2 linked regions of the Arabidopsis thaliana genome follow. The protein of the gene in region 2 purifies or fractionates together with the protein of the main gene of each other region. This does not show direct contact. Each region holds a gene or a part of one and is shown on either strand. Other genes may lie near its edges.

The links. Proteins that work in one complex are often made in the same cells at the same time.
Region 1: the proteins of PGM2 (region 2) and OASA2 fractionate together in Arabidopsis thaliana (co-fractionation; one large-scale study listed by BioGRID). This does not show direct contact.

Annotation. Positions count from the first base shown.
Region 1 is NC_003074.8:7,962,434-7,966,190, reverse strand, and holds OASA2 (O-acetylserine (thiol) lyase (OAS-TL)), read right to left. Parts: upstream 2,065-3,757; 5' UTR 2,001-2,064; coding exon of another isoform or gene 1,988-2,000; coding exon 1,943-1,987; intron 1,855-1,942; coding exon 1,591-1,854; intron 1,515-1,590; coding exon 1,478-1,514; coding exon of another isoform or gene 1,422-1,477; intron 1,418-1,421; coding exon 1,377-1,417; intron 1,298-1,376; coding exon 1,246-1,297; intron 1,091-1,245; coding exon 1,011-1,090; intron 921-1,010; coding exon 861-920; intron 707-860; coding exon 626-706; intron 533-625; coding exon 440-532; 3' UTR 284-439; downstream 1-283. Other genes in the region: AT3G22470 (Pentatricopeptide repeat (PPR) superfamily protein), read left to right, coding at 1-125; AT3G22450 (Ribosomal L18p/L5e family protein), read right to left, coding at 2,813-3,748.
Region 2 is NC_003070.9:26,671,502-26,675,258, reverse strand, and holds the start of PGM2 (Phosphoglucomutase/phosphomannomutase family protein), read left to right. Parts: upstream 1-2,092; coding exon 2,093-2,167; intron 2,168-2,376; coding exon 2,377-2,613; intron 2,614-2,833; coding exon 2,834-2,915; intron 2,916-3,010; coding exon 3,011-3,066; intron 3,067-3,219; coding exon 3,220-3,333; intron 3,334-3,452; coding exon 3,453-3,515; intron 3,516-3,661; coding exon 3,662-3,757. Other genes in the region: AT1G70740 (Protein kinase superfamily protein), read left to right, coding at 17-227, 327-561, 698-884, 966-1,412. UniProt on the Arabidopsis thaliana protein: Catalyzes the reversible isomerization of alpha-D-glucose 1-phosphate to alpha-D-glucose 6-phosphate. The mechanism proceeds via the intermediate compound alpha-D-glucose 1,6-bisphosphate.

The sequences.
Region 1 (3,757 bases), on a different chromosome or scaffold from region 2:
CAGTTGAACTCATAGAAGAAATGAAGGTGTGTGGGTTCTCTGCAGATTCTTCCACCATAAAGATGGTTATTGATATGTTATCAGATCGTAGATTGGATAAAAGCTTTTTGGATATGCTTTCTTGATTGTCTAATCTGATCTACAAGAGATAAAGAAAATATTTTTGTTTGTAATTCCAAATCACTAAAATATTGTACCAAGCTTGGGGCTATTTATAAAGTAGATGTAGTTGTCCTCTCGTCACTGTTTTTGATCACACAAGATTTCAAATAGAGAGAGCAAAAACTCAACCAGAAACTTTCTAGAAATGGATTGTTCATAGTAGCAGACAAACTACTTTTGAGTTCTCACAAATGACAAGATACAGACAGAATCTGAAGATATATATGTTGGAAGAAAGATCATTTATTTGTATCACCAAGAAGAAAGGGGAACAGATTCAGGGCTCAAAGGTCATAGTCTCTGCCTCTTTCCTTGCTGCATCAAACAGTACAGTCGATAGATATCTTTCCCCGAAACTCGGAAACACCGCCTGAAACATTCAGTTTCACATCTCTTATTATAAGATCGACTCTTAAGCTTCCATGAGTTCACTGTTTGTTCTTTAGCTTTGGAAAAAACGTACCACTATAAGCTTCCCAGCATTTTCTGGCCTCTTTGCAAGTTTGATTGCTGCAGTAGCTGCTGCTCCAGATGAGATTCCCACCTACAGTACATAGGAGGAGACAAATGTGATAACGATCAAGGACCTGTTTTTATTTTCATGGTGAGGTTTGAATCATAATGGTGAGGATAAAGCTGAATCAAGACATTTTTGGCTTAACAGAAAAATCTGATGAGGCAAAATGTGAAGCACTTACTAACAGACCCTCTTCCCTAGCAAGAAGCCTTGCCATGTCAATGGATTCTTCACTTGAAACCTGCGTAAGCGTTACAAAACTATAAGAGGCAACTAAGAAATGTAAGGTGTGTTTTGGAGTCAGCAAGATGATATTGGTATGAAACCTTACCTGAACAACTTCATCTATAAGATCAACATCCAAAATGCCTGGAATAAAACCAGCACCTATACCTTGAATTTTGTGGGGACCTGAGCATTTTTACCAATGTGTTAGGCTGAAATTCAATGAATCTTGATATGAACACCAAAAGTTAGAAGGACCTCATAATGAACACTCAAGACTAACATGTGAGCAAAGTAAAAGAAGAAAAAGTGTGCCAAAGAGTTCCTTATTGAGGACAAACCTGGCTTTCCACCGGACAGAATAGGGCTTTCAACAGGCTCGACACCATACAGCTATAAGATGAGAAAACAAATGAGACAAGTTTTGAGTTTACTAAGAAAGAGTCTGATTGTATAAGTAAATGAAATTCACCTTTATGTTTGTGTTCTGTTCCTTGAGATACTTCCCAGCACCTGTTCAGGTACCACCAGTACCAATACCAGAAACAAAGCCATCCACTTTTCCACCAGAACCTTTCCATATCTCAGGTCCAGTAGTCTCATAATGGATCTGCAATGAACACAATACTATGTTATAAGTATCTGACTTCAAATCCACTAAGGCACTTAAACTAAATAGTAATTACCTTTGGATTAGCAGGATTCTCAAACTGTTGAAGCATATAACCATTAGGTGTTTTCGCCAAAATCTCCTCCGCCTTTGCAACAGCACCTTTCATACCTTTAGCCGGATCAGTAAGAATCAACTCAGCTCCAAAAGCTAAGAGAATGATTCTTCTCTCTATACTCATTGAAGCTGGCATTGTTATAACAAGCTTATAGCCCTTTGCAGCTGCAGTAAATGCTAAACCAACTCCAGTGTTCCCACTTGTTGGCTCAATCAACACACTCTAAAGAAAAAACTCAAAAGTTAAAAATCTCAAAAACTAACAAATGAAGAATCTGACTAATAGCTTCCATTTAAAAAAAAAAACAGACCTCTCCCGGTTTAATAAGTCCTTTAGCTTCTGCATCAGCAATCATACTATAACCAATCCTGCAACAAAAAAGAACAAAGTACAAGTATTTGTTTCTTTTGTCACTAACAGAGAAACTAGAAAACAGAGCTTTTAAACTTTTCGGAAGCACCTGTCTTTGACGCTAGAACATGGTTCCATCATCTCAAGCTTAGCAGCAACATGACCAACACAATCTTTAGCTACTTTGTTTAGATACACTAATGGAGTGTTCCCTATTAGCTGCTCCCAAATAATAAAAAATATCAATTAAAAAAAAAACATTTACTGACAAGACATAGTTGAAGAAAGACATAATCTTGGAGGTTACTTACTTCAGTTACATCTTTAGCGATTTTAGGAGCCACTGAAGCCATGTTTCAAGCTCACTGCTTAGATTTCACAAAAGAAAAAAGATGAATGCAATTGTTAAATATCATGTATAATTAATCAAAATATTCGATTAATATAGGATCATCTCATCATCTGATTATAGGTTTACAACAACAACAAAAAAAAAAAACTTATTTAAAACTTTTCATTTCACGCCAACTTTGTCCTGATCATGATGCATCAAAAACTTTCCAGATGAATAAACAAACCATGATATATATATCATCATACCTGAAAATATATCGATCTAGCAAATAAAAATCGGTGGGAATTGTGAACAAAGGTCGATCGGCTATGGAAGAGCAGAGAAGTTACGTATAAGAAAACGATGATATCATTGTTAGAAAGTCAACACTTTGACCCGACAAGAAACGTAGAAATGAAACGGATAACATTTTTTGGGCCCCACACAGAAACATATCTTCTGGGCCCATATTACAAACTAGAAAATTTCAGTCCTCTAGGCCATCATTAGATGACTAGTCTTCTTCTTAAGTTTCCTCTGCTTAAGCTTCACTTTAACATTAACACCATTGTCAATAAGAGCTTGAAGCACGACCTGAAGCTTACCTTCAATTTTATCTCCTTTCCTAGGAGTGTATATAACATCATGTATGTCATCTTCCAAACTTCTTTGAGCAAGAACTGCCCCAACCGCAGCGCAAGCTGCAACGTTTCTTCTCGAACCAAGATCGAATTTCATGTCTTTTGAAATCGAATGAGCCACAGTTACAACCTTACTAGTCACCCTGTGAATCACACATGCTCGTACAGACTCTTTCGAGATGTATATGTCTAAGCAAAACGGGTAGTGAAATGGCGCCGTGAGTTGGTTAAACGTAAATGTTCTTTCTCTCTTCTTCACAGCTTCATTAGGATGATCCGTCTCACCTGTGAAAGAGTCATTTCTCTTCTTGTATTCGTCACGAACTTCCTTCTTGTTATCCTTCTTTATCTTTGTTTCTTCTTCTTGGTTTTGCTCCTTTTTAGCGTTCTTGTGTTGATTCTTGCGGTGGAAGTCATAGTTGTATTCCTCGAATTCTTTTGAACCTCGATCGAGCTTGAAGAAAAGATCACCGCGAATTCTCATGTTATCGATTTCATCGTGATCGGGATCTTCATCATCGAGTATTGTTTCTCTTACTCCTTGTATTGTAACGGGAGAGTTTTTTGCAGTGTCTGCTTGGAACTGTCTCCAAGCTTGGGATAAAGATGATGAAACATGCCAAACATCATCATCCACAGTTTCTATACCACAACCACTCAAACCAGTCACTGTAACTTTACCACTTTCACTGTTGGAAAATCTCGAGGAGAAGCAACGCGGTGCAGGTCGAAAAACGGAGATAAAATCTGGCAAACGGAGACACTTTCTTCTCAAAACCATCAAAGCCATTGAAGGAAA
Region 2 (3,757 bases):
GATTGGTGTGTAATAGGGAAGATTACCTGACGGGAGAGACATAGCAGTGAAGAAGCTATCTCAGGTTTCAAGGCAAGGCAAAAACGAGTTTGTGAACGAGGCTAAGTTGTTGGCTAAAGTTCAGCATCGCAATGTTGTTAATCTTTGGGGTTATTGTACACATGGAGATGATAAGCTCTTGGTTTATGAGTATGTCGTTAATGAGAGCCTCGACAAGGTCCTCTTCAGTAAGTTTTTCTTCTCAATGAGATTGGTTTGTATATTAGGATAAATGATATTGAAAGAAGATGGTTTTAACATGTAGTGGTTGCTTCATTTGAATGCAGAATCCAACAGAAAATCGGAGATAGATTGGAAGCAGAGGTTTGAGATCATAACAGGCATTGCTCGAGGACTGCTCTATCTACATGAAGACGCGCCAAACTGCATCATCCACAGGGATATTAAGGCTGGCAATATTTTGCTGGATGAAAAATGGGTTCCTAAGATTGCAGATTTTGGGATGGCTAGACTCTATCAGGAAGATGTAACACATGTCAACACTCGTGTTGCAGGAACCAAGTATGCTCTCTCTATTGTTTACCCTTAAAAAGCTCATTTACATATCTTCTTGTGTCATTTGAACTCTTTTTGTTTGTTGGTGTTTCATGGTAGAATGTTATTTAACGTCCATTGCTTCTTCTTTTCTTATGCGCAGTGGTTATATGGCGCCAGAGTACGTAATGCACGGGGTTCTATCGGTAAAGGCAGACGTATTCAGCTTTGGGGTTTTGGTTCTGGAGCTCGTAAGTGGACAGAAGAACTCGAGTTTTAGCATGAGACACCCTGACCAGACTCTTCTTGAATGGGTAAAGCCTCTAGTCTCATGCTCCATTGTTTATAGGGTTGTTGTGTGATGGCCTGACCCAGCCAATATTCTTCAGCGTAATATAACCAATGCTAAATTCTTTCTGAATGTGACACAGGCATTTAAGTTGTACAAGAAAGGCCGGACCATGGAGATACTAGACCAAGATATAGCAGCTTCAGCTGATCCAGATCAAGTCAAACTCTGTGTACAGATCGGACTACTCTGCGTTCAAGGCGATCCGCATCAAAGACCGAGCATGAGACGGGTATCTCTACTTCTCTCTAGAAAACCAGGACATCTAGAAGAACCGGATCATCCTGGTGTCCCGGGATCTAGATACCGTCGGCGAACACAACGTCCTTCAGGAGCAGCATCACTTGGAACATTGTCGACCACTGGTTCCAGCACAGATTCTTTCGGTTCAAACCTGAACACAAACACGGGAACTGGTGTTAGAGGTACCCCCGCATCTTCTAAAGCTTCAACTCGGAGTAATGCCACTAGAAGTGCTGGTCAGAGCTCTAGCTCAGACCCTCACGGGAAACGACATATGAGTTATTGAAGTACATAAAATCTGGTCATAGGTGATTGTAAATAGCGAGCTGCATATATAATATTTGTTTCATAATTTATTTAATTTTGCTTTTGAAAAGTAAATTAATTTATTTTTTTGACTGCAGTAGTGATTTAGTTTTGTAGTATGATTTGTTATATTAGCGGGAAAAAATTATGATTCATTTGTTACATTTGTATATTAGAATAATCACTTGTAGTCCCATTATCTAGGTCCCCACTATTGGCCTCGTACGTATAAAAGCATATTCTCTTGTACGTATTAACGGTACCTTACTTTAAACAAAACATAAAACTAAAATGTTTTTTATGCGTTTTAAATTATTTTTCAGTTAAAATTTATAAAAAGGGTTTTTGTAAACAATTATTTTGATAGTAAAAGAAATACTAACTGAAATTAGTGGAGAAAATACACAAACATATATTTAACTTTCTTTAATTTAAAATATACAGATTTTGTTTCTTTAATTTTTTTTTTCAAATTTTAGTTTTCATTTATTTTTAAATAAAGTATGACATGTCATAATGTTGTATTTTGATTTGTCATTAAAAAGGGGGTGAATCAAATTGGTTCACTCTAGAGGTGAACTTCGCCAAAGAATCACAGACCGTCAGTGTTAATCATCAGAGACATCAACGTAATGTTCCTCTTGGTTACTTCTTGCTTTAATGTTCCTCTTGGTTACTTCTTGCTTTCTACCTGATTCAGGTTCTTCAGTTAAAGTTTCTCTTTTCATTTTTGGGGTAATGCCCGGTTGGGCCTCGTTGTTTTATTTAGGTTCTAGTTCTAGGGCCTGCGTGTCCTTTTAGGCAGTTATTGCCATGTATGTTCTTTGGGCCATTCGTGCCTCTGTCGGCTTGTTGGGCCTTGTAATCGTTTCGGCTCTATTGGAAATTAAAAATAAAATATATATACTAACCCGTTTTGGGTAAAAAGTTAGGTCCACTAAAAGACGAAAAGAGATCCTACCAAAAAAAAAAACGAAAAGAGACGAGCCACACGCGTCACCTTCTCGTTTAGCCTCTTCATCTCCTTTCCTCAGACTCACTGTGTAAAAAGGCTTTTATTTTATCATCTTCAGGCTTATTCGATTTTCTTCAGATTTGAAATGGTGTCGTTCAAGGTCTCTCTCGTCTCTACTTCGCCTATTGATGGCCAGAAACCTGGGACTTCTGGACTCCGTAAGAAGGTTCGTTCGCTTTCGCTTCTTCTCCTTGTTATATCAATCCCCGCGTTCTTATTTCGAAATTGGATTAGAGATTTGAATTCTAAATTCAGATCTTCGCAACGAAATTGATTTCTTCATTTAGTTCCGATCTTATGGATTGAATGAATTTTGTGTGTTGGTTTTAACAATTTGATCCGATCCGATGAGATTTGAATTTACGCATTGTTTCGTAATTTTACAGGTGAAAGTGTTTAAGCAACCAAATTACCTTGAAAATTTTGTCCAGGCAACGTTCAATGCTCTTACTACAGAGAAAGTTAAAGGTAAAGATCTCTCTTACCTCTCTTTGATTGTTGTTCAGGTAAAGGTCGATGATTGCAAATTCCATCTAAGAAAGAGTATTTGTTAACTTTTTCAGGTGCGACACTTGTGGTTTCTGGTGATGGTCGTTATTATTCAGAGCAAGCTATTCAGGTAAAAGCTTTATATGTCCTTTGAATGATGGCAAACTGCGTTTTGCATTAACTTATAATTCTTAGACACTTTACTCTTATTTTAGTTGTTTTGAATCTTTTATTTCATAAAAAAGATAGTTCGTCAATACCACTTTATTTCCTATCTGGACAGATTATAGTAAAGATGGCAGCAGCTAATGGTGTTAGACGTGTGTGGGTTGGTCAAAACAGTCTGCTATCAACTCCTGCAGTATCAGCTATTATTCGTGAAAGAGTAGGGGCTGATGTGAGATATCTTCCTCTAAACTCATACTACTTACTTTTCTCTTGGGTTGTTATCTAAGGCTATGCATGTTTGCAACATGTAATGACGTGATGAGAAACTAACCCGAGATCCAATTTCAGGGATCTAAAGCCACAGGAGCATTTATCTTAACAGCAAGTCATAATCCTGGTGGCCCAACTGAGGTCAGTTCTCTTTTTGTTCTCACTCTTTTGTGCTTGTTCATTCGATACCCTCACTTAGTATTATTTGAATCCTAGCATCAGTTTTGTTAAACTATATGTTCATCTCTCTGCTTCCATATGCTGATTTCCTGCTATTCTATTCACAGGATTTCGGAATTAAGTACAATATGGAAAATGGTGGACCAGCTCCTGAATCAATCACTGATAAGATTTACGAGAACACAAAGACAATCAAGGAGTAC